Linked DNA regions of Caenorhabditis elegans. The protein of the gene in region 2 interacts with the protein of the main gene of each other region in a pairwise test. Each region holds a gene or a part of one and is shown on either strand. Other genes may lie near its edges. The genes, in order: ZK899.5 and mrpl-24.

Region 1 (3,537 bases), on a different chromosome or scaffold from region 2:
AAAAAAAATCGGAGATTTTATTTGACTGTTCAAATTGTTCCCCGCCGTTTTCTTGAAAAATAACTGTTTCTGCTTTTCACTTTTCTATTTTTCGTAAGGGTTTTATCTTCTGAAAAACTGTTTCCAAAAAAATAAAGAATAAACTTTGTCTACCAAGAAAGTGTCCTCTCAACCAGGGCTGCGCGGCAATCGGACAATTTTGGCAATTGCCGAAATTGCCGAAATTGCCGATTGCCGGACATTTTCGGCAATTTTCAAACCTAATTATATTTTGGAAAGTGAAAATGTTCACAGTGTTTTATAGTATTCGATCAGTCATTTTCTTAAATAAAATGGTAAATCATTGTAGGATTAAAACATTTCGAGCTTGAAAAGAGAAAATTGTTCATTGAAATGCCTCTTTAGGCTCGTAAATCTACAAAGAAGTATCAACTTTACATTTCCGGCAATTCTGATTTCCGGCAATCGGCAATTCCCGCAATTGCCGGTTTTCAAAATTCCCGGCAATCGGCAACTTCGGCAATTGCCGGTTTTGTCTTATAAAAAATGGGTTTCAATCAAAGTCAAAAGTGATTTGTACCTACTTCGATCAGAAAATATTACCAATCAATTCGTGACAAAAACTGATGTTTTCTCAAAAAAAATTGCGCATTTACAACAAATAGTTACTTAATTTATCGATAAAAAAGTATACATCAACGAGAAAGAACACTTTTAGTCTGACTTCAATTAGAAATGAGTTACGCGAGATTTGAAAACAATAGTTGTGCTCTGGAAACACAGATAGCGAATATATTTAATTATATGTGATATTCATCTTCAAATTTTGTTTAATTATTGCAAATGTACTAAAAAGTGTATTTGTGTTTAAATCTATTCAAGTAGTTTTTTCACAAACACGGACATGTAAATAGGATTTTTTTAAATGAGCATTTTTGACGCCAAAATCTCATTATAACATGTATCTTAGAATCTTTAAGAAAAATCATGAAATGCAAATGTGAATCGCGTGAACCTTCGATTAATGTTCATTTTTGCTGATTATACGTAAGCTTTCCTTTGAACACTTAGAGGTTCAATACATGCTTCAATATGCCATATCAGTTTTACCTTTTTATTGATAAAATATATATATATATATATATATGTCGCAAACTAACTCTAATACAGATCCTTACTCGATTATCCAATCATGCAAAACAAAATACCCATAATCCCTCCCTTGTGTTTTATTTATTTGATTGTCTTCATTGTCTTTCTTGGTACATTAACAAGTTTCTTATAGTACAGTAGTAGGTTTTGAAAGTATCGTCATTTCGGAAGACAAAGTGTCAATATGACATGTAGCCGATTAGATACTCCGTTCTGTATTTCTATAATTCATTTTCCCCATTTACAATTACCGTAAATCTGTTTGTTGGTAGACTACCATGTGAAATTTCCCACATCGTGATCCAGTATGTGGCAATGTGATGCTCTATGAGACGATATGGGACGCTAAAATGAACAATCGATACCAATATATTGCTGGTAAAAGGGTGGAGCCTACCAGTTTGTGTAAACCAATATAGTCAGTTATTCCTCATTCACTCGTTTTGGAATGTCAGGTTGTGATCTGAAACAGTTTAATCATTGTTCCAAATAATTGACTTTTTTTTAAAAGTTTTCTGTTTGTTTGTTGTATTAGTATCTGTTTCTTTTATTCATAATATTGTTTAAAATCCTAATTTCAGCCCTAATTTGACAATTTTCAGAATGACTCCCGTCACTAGCATTCCTCACAGAATTTTCGACATTTGGAGAACTCCAATAAACATCAACACTTGTCGCAGTTTCTTGAGTAAGCTACAACCTAATCCAATTTCTTGACTAATAGCGTTTCTTCAGATATCCACAAGTTACAGTGCTCAGATTGCAGTTCAAAGTTCGATTCGGAAATCCCATTTATTCAGCATATTGATGAATGTCTCGAAAACGCAAAACGCGATTTGAATGTAAGTCAAATCTTTGTAAAATTAAAATTCAATTGTTTTCTACTTTCAGTATCACATGCACATGCACGGAAATCGTCTTTTAATGATGACTCAACGTGTTTCTGAATTGTATGAAGCATCTGAGTGCAAGAAGTGTGGAATGTGTATGGAACGTTTCAACGAAGAAGCCGAAGTGATTATTCATTCCAAACAATGCACGAACTACAAATCCGAGTACTCAACGTTCATTCAAAATTCAAAAGCTCTATTTGGAAACATGCTTACTTCATATGATAGTCTCTGTAATCTCTTCCAGTACTTTGAAACTGATGAGCGCATCATTCAAATTAGAGAGGATCTAAAGCAGCCATTGCCCGAAGGAGTTATCCCAAATTTGGAGCCTGTTGGACCTGATCTTCATTTCGATGAACTCTCGGAGTACTTCATTGAAAAGTACCAGGATTACATGATTGACGTTTCGAATATGATTGATGTCGTCTTTGTTCGTTATTTGATCAAGAAACAGAAAGATGAAAGAACTGGAAGTATTGTCTACTCTTTCCCAACTAAAAGAATGTCCAGAAGCATTGATCACATGGAAGACGCTACTGACACAGAAACTTCCGATGTTTCAGAGGATGGACAGGTGGAGGAATCTGATTGGGATGAGTATGATTCTGATGAGTTGGACGACGGAGAAGATATCAATAATCAAAGTATGGAGATTGGTTACGCTGCTGATGAGGATCTTAATGAAGAGTCGTTTGAATATGACGAGGAAATGGTTGATGTTGAAGCCATCTAAAACATTGAAACTTGATTAATTTTCACAACTATCTATTGCTAAACTGATAGATATTTAATAATTTCGAAATAGCTCGGAAAAATACTTTTCTGATTTTTTTGTTTCATTTTTGTACCAATTCTAATTTGTTCACTCATCTAATTTGTTCACTCATTGATCTCATCGACGAAATGTTTTTCTTGATTTTCCCTGCTTTATAGTTCTCATCTCAATTATCCAATAAAGTCTCATAAAATGAAATTAACTTGATTTCTTTTAATTAAAATGTTTTCAAAAACTATAGACCGAGGCAAGAGACATGTCACAACAACCTTTTTTTCCAATCCTCTTTTTTTTGGTTTGTGTCAGTAAATTCAGATTGTTCAATGCATTGTTTGGAAAAAAGGAGGATATAACAAATATAACTTTCCAATTATACTGTGTATAATTTGCAAGAGAGGAACAAACAGGAAAACTGCTGACAATTCTACCTAATTTTATTCAACTAATCCAAAGAAACATCAACTAATTATTGCACCTATTTTTTTTTGAAATGTATTGTTGTTTTGAATTTTATTATTCATGTTCAAGTAAGTAATAAAACACAGCTGAATGATATATTTTTAATCCAAATCGGCAACGGGAGCACTTGGCGTACTGATTGGGGCAATTGATCCAGAAAATGGTTGTGGATCTTCTGGGAGCATTTTGTTTGTGATCAAAGTGTTCAATTTTCAATTGAGTTCCTTTTATGGATTGAATGTGGCTTGGGAACAGAAC
Region 2 (4,384 bases):
CTCACAGCCCCGTCATTCTTTGCCGAAAAACGCCTTTTAAGGATCGATTGTTAAATTTTGGCAGTATTTAAGATTACCAAAAAATAATTTTTTACCACAGATAATTCTGAAACCTGCCAAACATTGATAGAAAATCATTTTTGCACTTCCGTGGGTTCTAGATAATGTAATTTATTTTTAGTTTTTCGGTTTTTTAAACAGAAAAACCTAAAGCGAGAACGGCAATAAAGCTTCAAGATTTTTTTTTTCAATTTTCTGCTTTTCAGGTTTCATCCGAGAAGATCTGAAACGTCAGAAAGCGCATTCAGTTCAATGCACCATACCAGTAAGCTAATTTCTCTTCAAACTCTTTTTGAAAAAAACAACTATTTTCAGACATCGGAAACCCAATTGACAAGCTGTACACTTCAGCAAAATGAGCACTTTTAATATTTGTATTTTGAAACACACAAAAACTTGAATTTAAAAAAATAAAAACTCAGCAAATAGATGATCCCCTCATTCCTTGAAAATCTCTGAAATATATTGCGCGCTTTATTTGTTTTTTTTTTCCGAATTTCTCCTCAAAACTGCGTTTGTTGTGACATAATAATAATGAAATAGAGCACAATGTTCGGTGTTTTTTTCTATATTTTTATTCCTATTGTTTCTGTTTGAAAACTAGATTCCCATCTCATTTTCTGTGAAAGTATAATCCCGTTTGTTTAGTCTTTAGTTGTTTTTCTCACTCAATGAATTTTTATTTTCTTTAAATTTTATTTTTTTCCAAAACGAGATCGAATGATTATAATAAAAACAACATTGTATCTATTTAGATTTCTAAAAAAAAAACGAAAAATTAAACGAAGAGCCTATTCTAAAATAACAAAATACAGAAGAAAAAAAAAAGGAAAAATTAGTACCAGAAAGTAGGTTTTGGAGTTCTTTCCTCCTTGATTCCCATTTCTTCCATAATTTCCTGCTCGAAGCTCGCAACTTTTGGCATGTAGGTTCTTTCAAGTACAGCATCAGCTGGTGTATCTTTTCCTTCGACTTCTAAAATTGAAATGAGTTAAACATTTTAAAAACTTTCAGAAACATACCAATATAATTTTCTGGCTGTAGATATTCATATGTAACTTTAGCTTGAGATGGAATTGGGATTTCATATCCACTTCTTGTTGATACTCGAATATACTCATCACCAGGACCGTTTAATTGCCATCTGAAATTCATGAAATGTATCGTAAGGATTTTAGCTTCCTTTTTTCGAAAAATTCCATAAATTACCAATTTTGCTATTCAAACGAATAGATTAGACCAAGGATGCTAATTCCTTCATTTTTGATTTACTGCATTTTTCTTTGGAAAAATTTTTGATTTATGAAAAGACGAAGATGTTTAAAACTTTTGAGATGATTATGGGAAAAATTTTTTTTTAACTGAAAAGAGATATCATATCGTTGGAACCTTTTTTTTGAGAATTGTTAATCCCTATAAATTTGGAAATTGCAACATTTTTTTTCTGAAAATTTTTGTGCCATCTAGATATAATTTTTCTTGTTTTTCTGCAAAAAATGTCTTCCGAATTTCTGGGTTAGACTACCTTGCTTCACATGGCTGTTCATCATTCGGATCGACCAGCATCACTTGTTTCTTCGACACTGACAACGGTTGCTCTTGCCACCTGTATTAATTTGAAAATTAATTGCAAGTTCCCACGAGATTTCTTCCTAACCTGAGTGTTTTATCAACTCCTAACTTCTCACTACCCTCCATGTCCTCACCGAGCTTTGTGTGCAAGCCATCAACGATCACCTATAACAAAAAATAAACTTTTGGGGTAACAAGACACAATTCTAACATCACTGGAGTCTCTGCTAGTGGTTAGCACAAGTCCTTGCCGTCCTTTGTCTTTTCCGACCATCACTTGTACAAGATCTCCCGGGAAGAAAGTCCACTCTGTATCGGCCATTCGTTCGGATTTTGGGCGACGAAGATTGAAGTATTGGTTGGAAAGTCTGCAAAAATACATAATTCAGAACGGAAAATAAACTTCCAAAACCGATTTTTTCACTCACTGAGCCGAGAAATATTTGTCCGATCTATGTAGATGAGAAGAAATCTGTTTGTCTTCCCAAGGACGGCGATGTGATGGAACATAGTCATCTGGATGAACATAGTACATTTTGATATCTGGAGCTCCGAACCTAAAAAGCTACAATTTGTAAGAGAATTGCTGGAAAAAAATTCAGCAACTTACCTATCTCCAAAAACTTTTCTCGGAACAGTTCGCTTTGTTCGTTCAACATAAGCAGAAGGCATATGCCTTGCGTAATCAAGATCCACAAATGGTTTACGTGGAATTCGAAGTGCACGAGAAGTAAGCATCTGGAATTATGACTTGGAATATGACAAGAAAAACACTTGAAAGTATTCAAAAGTTGTTAAACTTTGAATTCCAAAAAAACATAAACTATCCGTTTCGAAAATCAAAATTCCGTTTTATGTACACATTTGGGAAAATATTGCATTTTGGTGGAGAGGGTGCAAAACAAAATAAGTTAAAAATTTCAGAAATGATGAATTATGCAGGGGCAAAAGAATACCGTTAATAAGAGTTATTATGAAGAGGGGAAAGGAATGCGTGGCACATTGAAGATTTCGAATCCGGTAAAAAAATGCGTAATACGAAGAGAAATTATCACAGAAAATGGTAAAATTTTGGAATAAAAATGAAGTTTTTCACAGAAAACATTATGAACTCGCAAATTGTTGTAATGGGGTTGTGAACAAGTTTCCGAGTTTAACCCAATCCAACATCCATGCACATCATCACGAGGAATCCAATGATACATCCAAGGGATGCCAGCTTTCCATTTCCATTTCTTTGTGCTTCTGGGATAATATCATCGACAACCACGTAGATCATGGCTCCAGCCGCAAACGCCAGGGCATATGGAAGCACAGGTTCCATAAAAATTACAGCAGCAGCTCCGAATAGAGCAGCAATCGGCTCAACCATTCCAGATAGTTGACCATACCAGAATGCCTAAAATTGATTAACTTGTTTTATTTCCAAAATTCGATATCTCACTTTCAGCTTAGAATGACCGAATGCTGCAAGTGGGAGTGAAACGGCAAGTCCTTCTGGGAAATTCTGAAGACCAATTCCAATAGCTAAATTGAATGCCGATTCAAAAGTCGCTTGTTTTGTTTTTCCTGCTGATCCGAATCCGACACCAACGGCGAGACCCTGAAAATTAGATATGATAAAAATTGTTTAAAAAGGTTGAAAAATACCTCAGGAATATTGTGAACGGTTACAGCTAAAATTAGCAAAAGAATCCGCCTCCATGATTGACGGTAATCTTCTTCTGGAATCACATCAGGACGCTTATCGGATCCCATATCAACAGATCGATCCCTTTCTCGATGTTCTTCATTTACTGATCTGAAATGTCACAAAATATAATTAAATTTCGAAGAAAACATAGGGTGAGGAGTTTGATCCGATTTCTTTGTTAAGTGTTAGTATAACCGAATATTTTTAAAAAAAGCGAAAAAAGAAGAAAATCAGAAAAATAGATTCGAAACGACGTGTTTGAAGTGATTTTTATTGAAATTTCCAAGACTTCTCGTGATGACATGCATCTTTCAGAGTGCACAAGTACCCCAAGGTGCGATTAATAAAGTGAAACAGAAAATGGAACGGACAGTTTAACAATTAATTTAATTAATTGAACGTACACAGTTTGGATAGATTTCCGGTCTTACCACGAGAAGTCAGGAAAACAAGAACAAAAATAAAAGTTGACGCGTCATTTCTCACCTATTATTTTCTGATTTTCCGGCTGATTTCCGGTGTCGTTGTCGAAGTTCTCCTCCGGATTCACTGGTTGATCTAGAGTAGAACGATGGCTAATTTATGGCAAAACTATGAAAGGGTACACACGAATGAAAACCACACGTACAGTTACACAAATTTAGAAGTGGAAATTATTCCGAGCGTCTGTAGAAGAATTAGGACTTACCGCGCCAGAGCTGCAACATCAAGATCCTCGCGAGCCTGCATCAGTGACATCTCGGTTTCAGATCGACGTGTTGGTGGAGAGAGAAGTGATGTCATTCCAGCATCTCCGACACATCTTTAAAAATTTAGAAAGTGTAATTTAGTTCATTTAGTTTAGCTTACGATGGCAAAAGTGTGTCAGCCAAGTGAACAAATCCTGCTCCAACGGCGAAACCAATAGCAACAGGTACAAATGCCCATTTTTCAAAATCTGCTTCCGCGATTTCTATAGCTGGCGCGAGAAGGGACCAGAATGAGGCAGCAGTCATTACTCCTGCGGCAAATCCCAGGGAAATGTCTACAGAAGTTTTGTTTCAAAAATCAGCTTCAATT

The links.
Region 1: the proteins of mrpl-24 (region 2) and ZK899.5 interact in a two-hybrid assay, tested with the Caenorhabditis elegans proteins (one large-scale study listed by BioGRID).

What each region holds. Positions count from the first base shown.
Region 1 is NC_003284.9:9,459,152-9,462,688, reverse strand, and holds ZK899.5 (C2H2-type domain-containing protein), read left to right. Parts: upstream 1-1,754; 5' UTR 1,755-1,755; coding exon 1,756-1,840; intron 1,841-1,887; coding exon 1,888-1,994; intron 1,995-2,043; coding exon 2,044-2,778; downstream 2,779-3,537.
Region 2 is NC_003279.8:5,504,654-5,509,037, forward strand, and holds mrpl-24 (Large ribosomal subunit protein uL24m), read right to left. Parts: upstream 2,371-4,384; coding exon 2,243-2,370; intron 2,190-2,242; coding exon 2,061-2,189; intron 2,001-2,060; coding exon 1,844-2,000; intron 1,798-1,843; coding exon 1,718-1,797; intron 1,667-1,717; coding exon 1,586-1,666; intron 1,205-1,585; coding exon 1,083-1,204; intron 1,036-1,082; coding exon 896-1,035; 3' UTR 738-895; downstream 1-737. Other genes in the region: putative MFS-type transporter C09D4.1, read left to right, coding at 267-325, 376-429; zipt-11 (Zinc transporter ZIP11), read right to left, coding at 2,786-3,031, 3,077-3,235, 3,283-3,433, 4,014-4,127, 4,175-4,349.